Linked DNA regions of Saccharomyces cerevisiae S288C. Changing the gene in region 1 together with any one later gene gives a genetic interaction. Each region holds a gene or a part of one and is shown in the gene's direction. Other genes may lie near its edges. The genes, in order: GPI16 and TPT1.

Region 1 (3,933 bases):
GGTAATTTATCCTGGTACATTTCTTCCATAAACTGTTCGATCTTGGAGATTTGAATGTTCAATTTTAAGAAATTTGGATCTTGCACAGCCAATTTAGATTTGATATCACGTAAGTAATAGTCAAAAATCTCGACACAGCCACGCAAAGTCCTTGATTTCAAAATTAAATAGCAGGTAGTACCCTTACGAATCTTTACATTGCCATGTAGCACTTCACGGTTGTTGAATACCAAAGCCAAGGTTGCAATGGCCATAACTTGGGGAATGGCACAAAATTGGAAAGTGGATTGCTCGTGGATACCGGCCAAATAAGTCAACACATCGATAACATGACTCAATGCGTTTAAGACGAGGTGGTTTATACAGTCCAACCCCAGTTGTTCGTTTTCAGGTTTCATGAAGTCCTTCAACTGAGGAGCGTATTGTGACCAGATTTCCTTGGGCCAGAAGGATCTACCATCGACCAAATCTTCATTGTAATCTCTGATGATGTTGGTTTTTTGTAGGAAAAGACCCATGCTTTCATACAATTGCTCATTAGAATACAAAGATTCGTTGGCAAACTTGGCAATGACAATCAAACGGGTCAAACCATCACCGACCAAACCAGCTACGTAGTGACAGTACACGTCGTAGTCGTGGACGGTTTGCAACCCATTCAAGTTGTAATTTTCATCTAAGATGTAGTCGGCCATACCATTACCCATTTTCTCGGTGATCTCCTTGATGACTTCTTGATATTCTGGTTTCAATTTGTGGAATTCAATAAGAATCGATTCGAAATCTGTCAAAACGGCTCTGTCCTTCACATCGGGGGCATTTCCGTCGAAACTCCATTTAGTTAACAACAATTTCTCGTGGAAGTGACGCAACAAGTCAATTTTCAAATCGTGTTCGATGGACATATCGTCTTCGATGGTATCCAAAGCCCTTAAAATCAAATAAAAGAGAGTAACACAGTTTCTCAATTCTGGATGCAGCTCTCTGATCACAGCAGCAAACGATCTGGAGGTCAAGTTCAACAGTTCGAAACAGTGCAAGAGATATGGAGACGTGGACTGATCATAGATGGAGAATAGCGGTGTTCTGCAAAACTTCAGCTTCAAAGCTGCCTTCATCTCGACCGGATGCAATGCCAATTGTAATAGCTTTCCCATTGTGTGTGTGTGATATGTGACGTGTATACGTTTTCCGCTTCTGCTCTTCGTCTTTTCTCTTCTTCTGTGCTCTTATTCTTTGCCCCTGTCCTAACTTTCCATTTATATAGCCCGTGGTCGTGTTCTCGCTGCTCGTTTAGGCACTAAACCCAAAACCGATAACGCCTTCCGATGCAAAGTGCAGTGGAAAAGAAAAAGGGCAAAGCAAATAGGATGGTAAGTCGGTATTGTTGTTGAAGATGGGCTATGAAATGTACTGAGTCAGAGCACGCCAGGCAGCAGGTTCACTCTGTGTAAGCAAGGTTTGTAGTTCCTGCGGAGTTAGAGCTCCCAGAACCCACCGGGACACGCTCGCAGGGTCTCTAGAACGGGACCCAGGTTCTCTGCCGATTCCAATAGCCAATTTGGCAAAGGGTACACGGCCTCCACTGCATTTTAGCAGGCTTCGCAGCCCATTATGACCTCTAATACTGGTGCTGGGGGCTCTGAGCTGCACTTTTCCACACGCCACACTTAACTCGTCATGAATAACTACGTGTCGGGCTTGGTACTTGGCGTACCGGGCCCAGACCTTGCACACCTGTTCTCCACTTAGATTCATGTACTGGCCATCCGATCTTAGTATCGTACAATGTTCGTCTTCTATATAATGCACTTTGCCGCCCGTATTAGGCACAGGGGAATAAGTTCTCCCCTGCAGACCAAGCCGCTTTCGTAGCAGCTCCAGCATATATAGCCCTACATTGTGACGGGTACCAGCGTACTGAGGCTCTGGATTGCCTATCCCGGTCAGCACTAGTCTCCATTTACCGGACATCTTCCTTATCTGCCTAGAGTCGACTTGTTCCTACCTACTATTTTGCATATTATAGGAATAGTTCGAGATTATTTGAAACCGCCGGACCTTTTTGCGCTGGGCGATCTTTTACACGTAGTTTTAGTAGCCAATAAGTAAAAGGAGAGCGGAAACAAGTGTTCAAAGCAAACAAAGCATAGGCAAGACGACGATGATCCTCACACTGGCCTATTTCATGCTGGGCACTCTACTACTGGGTGTGTTCGCAGAAGACACGGTGTCGCAGATTGGTATAAATGACAGTTTATGGTATCCGTACGACGAAGCACTGGTGTTGAAGCCGCTGCCCAACAATGATCTGCTACTCTCATTTGCATTCCAACTGCAATCGGAACCGTTTGACCCGGCCGTATCATCCATGTCATATGATGCGTATGAGCACTACACGACTTTCCCACGGGCCATCCCACCATTGTTGGAATCTACTGCCACGCGTCAGTTTCATTTAAGATTTACCAGAGGATTCTGGGATGCCCTGTCGTGGGGACAGTTGCCACATGCTGGAAAAGAGGCAGGTGCCTCAGGTGTGGAATTGTGGTCGCAAGTGCAGGCCATGGATCAGGAACAGGCGTTCCATAATTGGAAAAAACTGTCCAATTCATTGAGCGGATTGTTTTGTTCTTCTTTAAATTTTATCGACGAGTCAAGGACGACCTTTCCCCGGCGGTCATATGCTTCTGATATAGGAGCTCCTCTTTTCAATAGCACCGAGAAACTGTACCTGATGCGAGCATCGTTGCCCAATGAACCCATCTGTACCGAGAACTTGACGCCGTTCATAAAACTATTGCCTACTAGGGGCAAATCCGGTTTGACATCTCTCTTGGATGGTCATAAATTGTTCGACTCTCTATGGAATAGTATTTCCTTGGATATTGCCACTATTTGTTCTGAAGATGAAGATGCTCTTTGTCACTACGAGATGGACGCACGCATAGAAATGGTAACACACGTTCCCTCCGCCTTGGCAAGAGGTGAGAGACCTATCCCCAAACCTTTGGATGGGAACACATTGCGTTGTGACACGGATAAACCCTTTGATTCTTACCAATGCTTCCCTCTACCGGAACCTTCGCAGACTCACTTCAAGCTGTCTCAGCTGTTTGCCAGACCAATAAACAATGGCAACCTGTTTGCTAATAGGCCCACAAGAATTTGTGCAGAAGTTGACCGTTCTACCTGGACTGCGTTTTTGTCAGTTGACGATACTATTTTCAGCACACATGATAATTGCTTTGACTTATCAAACGATCAAAATGAGGGTGGTTCGGGCTACGACTTTATTTTAGAATCGACGGACACTACTAAAGTTACTCCCATAGTTCCTGTCCCAATTCACGTAAGCAGATCTCTGACTGGTAATGGACAAGATCGTGGTGGAATGCGTATTGTTTTCCATAACGACAATGATACCCCTGTGAAGTTGATTTATTTCGAATCATTGCCATGGTTCATGAGAGTTTACCTATCCTCTCTTCAAATTACTTCTACTACCTCTCCGCAATTGCAAGAAAACGATATCATCTTAGATAAATACTATTTACAAGCGGCCGATAGAAAAAGACCTGGCCACTTGGAGTTCACGATGTTAATTCCAGCTAATACGGACATTGTAATGACTTATCAATTCGATAAAGCTCTTCTGCAATTTGCCGAGTATCCACCAGATGCAAACCATGGTTTTGAAATCGATGCAGCTGTAATCACCGTGCTATCTTTGGAGTCCTCATCGTCTCTTTATGAAATGAGAACCTCTACCCTATTGTTATCCCTGTCTACACCGGATTTTAGTATGCCGTATAACGTCATCATTCTAACATCTACAATCATGGGACTCATATTCGGTATGCTATACAATTTGATGGTGAAGAGAATGGTCACCGTCGAAGAGGCCGATAAGATTACGTTGCAATCTGGCTT
Region 2 (3,272 bases), on another chromosome or scaffold:
GTTACCCTGATATTCTACGAGAAAATGGGCCTTCGTCAATAGCTATTTAATTTAAGCATATGTACGGGCAGTACCAGCTGTTATAGTTTACATAAAATAGACATATTCACGTGTATGCAAGGGCACATAAAAGCAAAGGCTGACATTGAAACATAGCAAGCCAAGAGATAGAAAAGGAGGATACGGGGTGAACAGCCGGTCTATTCTTATATATACTTCAAAGAAGCGATAGTTCTGTCCGTATAAAAACTCGGACAATTCGGACAGCACTCCGCGAGAAAAGGGCTCGTTGGGCAGCTCAACATTATTCAACGCAAGCCTGTTGAGCTCAATTGGTTTTAATTGTAAATACTCAATGGTGTCAACAGCTAAATGATTTACACTCATATATATGGTCCGGATATATGGACGCAGAAGTAAAATAAAAATGAAAAAAAGTAGAAAAGGAAATTAATTTCTTAAAGTTCTTGTCAGCGCATATAATATTGGTATAAAGGTACATATATATTGACAGTATGGTTTCATTGACTACAATAGAGCAAAGCCCAGTCAAATGCGAGACAACCACTGAGAAAGAGAGCAATGATACTAGGGGGACAGATTCGAACGAGAATGCAGAGACAAAAGAAACAAAGAAGGGTTTTCCATTCCATGACTTGGCAAAATTGCAGAAACAGTACAAAAATAAATCCAGTAGGAACGAGTCACTAGTAGCACTAATATATCTCTTGGGTTCGATGCTGTCATTTTGTCTCCTAATATTTTTCACGGACTTTTATTTGATACCTTTGTTCCCCACCACCACTACAATGACAGACTACATTGTATTCAATTTTTATTTATTGAACGTTTTTGTATTTTGTATGGTGCATTTCATTTATCACTTCGTCAAAAATATTTCTCTACAACAACATCTCGAACATTGGCAGAAGTTTTCGTATTTATCGAATATCAACTTATTGATATCATCACAAATCACAATTCTTTATTATCTATTCTATGATTACGTGTTTTTCTTCAAAATTTTTACCCTTTTAATGAACTTCATAGGATTAGTGGCATACTTTTTTATATTGACGGACAAACTCATTTCCTCGAAAAGATTCAATAAAACAGTTTTCTTCATTTCGGTATCAGTAGTGTGTTGTTCCTTGCCACTATTAACCGCAATAATCACCTTTGATGGTTTAGAAAACCTGAAAGAGAGGATAAAAGTGAACGCAATTACGTGGGAACTTGTGGCTTTGGTAGCGGCATCTATAATTTACGTTACCAGGTTCCCTGAATCATTGTTCAGACGAAATAAAAAGGAAGAAGGTTGGAATCATTCCGAGTACCTTTTCCATCTCTTGATTTCTGGTACGGCTTTTTACCATTTTTTCATTTTGATTCAATCTTATATTTTGATGCATTCAAGTTTGAATCAGCCCGAATTAATTAATTTCAAGTCTTAGACTCAGCTGGTGCTCACATAATAAATAATTGAATAAATAAGGCAAATTAAATAAAAAAATAATTCAAGAATGGGAAGTGTATCTCCTTTAAAGATACTTACACGAGTTGAATTAAGCTTCATGTTTTGACTTTAATGTCTTCTGCGGTTCTTGTCCGTATTTCTGTCTTCGTGATGTATTTGTTCTTTTTTACTGACACCGTGACGCGAGGAAAGCTCATCAAAATAATGGCAAAATGCATAATACATTATTACAGAATTGAGCAGAATGACTGGGAAAGGTGGACTTGACAATGCGCCAGGTACTACAAAAAGATAAAAGGGATGTACAGCTTTCCAAAGCTTTATCATATCTGCTTCGACATACAGCGGTGAAAGAAAAGTTGACTATTGACTCAAACGGTTATACACCGCTGAAAGAACTATTGTCTCATAATAGATTGAAAACTCATAAATGTACGGTGGATGATATCCATCGCATTGTTAAGGAAAATGACAAACAACGCTTTCATATAAAAACGTTAGGAGCGGACGAAGAATGGATCTGTGCTACTCAGGGACATTCAATCAAATCGATTCAGCCATCAGATGAGGTTCTCGTACCAATTACTGAAGCGTCGCAGTTACCACAGGAACTAATTCATGGAACAAATCTTCAATCTGTCATAAAGATTATTGAATCCGGAGCAATATCACCAATGAGTAGAAATCATGTCCATTTATCGCCGGGGATGTTGCACGCGAAGGGAGTTATTAGTGGAATGCGTTCTTCAAGTAACGTCTATATTTTCATCGACTGCCATTCTCCATTATTCTTTCAAACTTTGAAAATGTTCAGGTCGCTCAATAATGTTTACTTAAGCAGCAGTATTCCCGTTGAATTGATCCAAAAAGTTGTAGTTAAAGGAAACTTGAAAGATGAGGAGAAGTTAGATACTTTAAGAAGAATTTTACACGAAAGAAACATACCGCTCGAAAAGATATAACTTTCATCAAGCTCAACTTTTATGAATTTTTATTTTTAAATACTTCGCTCTTACTTATATATTTAAATAAAAACTTTTAAGATTAGATGAAATGAATTGTCTCCCTTTTATAGCTTTCTTCCTTCTTTTTTGTTCTTTATCTTTTATTTTTTGTTGGTGTAGCAGTCTAACTTTCTACAATTTCCTGTGTAGGTTCGAATTTGAGTTTATGATGGGCAGCACCTTCGGCCACCTGTTGTTTCCTCTTTTTAGCTAGAGCTTTAGAGGCTTTGATATTGAATCCGTCCTTTAAAATTGTTTGAACTTCCTCTAACTCCAATCCTGATAGTTCTGGATAACAAAAGTAACAAAAAATGGTTGATAAACATGCTACACCGGCAAAGAATGAAAATGTACCCGTTGGTGTAATATTTTGTAACATAGTCAAGAACGTAGACGCAATGACTAAAGAACCTGCCCAATTGGTGGCAGTAGCGTAGGATGTCCCTACACCTCTGACGTTTTGTGGAAATAATTCCGATTGTTGCCATGGAACAGTGCCGATACCGAGGGCATAAAAGGCTGCATACACAATAATAAATACGATAATGACAATGCCCCAAGATGAAAATCCATCAGATGCCACTACTGCATCAGCACCGTTAAACTTAATACCTAGGAAATGGAACGCTATAGCACATATAACCAGCGCCACAGTCATACCAGGTAGTCCAATCAGTAAAATGTACCTACGGCCGATTTTATCAATACAGAAAAATGCTATTAATGTGAACACAAAATTAGTACCTGAGACAATAATAGAAACGGCAGAAGAATTTTTGAATCCAACAGTT

Evidence for each region.
Region 2: mutations in GPI16 (region 1) and TPT1 together harm fitness more than expected from each alone (negative genetic interaction), as found in Saccharomyces cerevisiae (2 studies listed by BioGRID).

Annotation. Positions count from the first base shown.
Region 1 is NC_001140.6:482,069-486,001, reverse strand, and holds the start of GPI16 (GPI-anchor transamidase subunit GPI16), read left to right. Parts: upstream 1-2,164; coding exon 2,165-3,933. Other genes in the region: ERG9 (bifunctional farnesyl-diphosphate farnesyltransferase/squalene synthase), read right to left, coding at 1-1,157; PTH1 (aminoacyl-tRNA hydrolase), read right to left, coding at 1,402-1,974. UniProt on the Saccharomyces cerevisiae protein: Component of the GPI transamidase complex. Involved in transfer of GPI to proteins.
Region 2 is NC_001147.6:125,164-128,435, reverse strand, and holds TPT1 (tRNA 2'-phosphotransferase), read left to right. Parts: upstream 1-1,746; coding exon 1,747-2,439; downstream 2,440-3,272. Other genes in the region: IZH4 (Izh4p), read left to right, coding at 516-1,454; myo-inositol transporter ITR2, read right to left, coding at 2,606-3,272. UniProt on the Saccharomyces cerevisiae protein: Catalyzes the last step of tRNA splicing, the transfer of the splice junction 2'-phosphate from ligated tRNA to NAD to produce ADP-ribose 1''-2'' cyclic phosphate.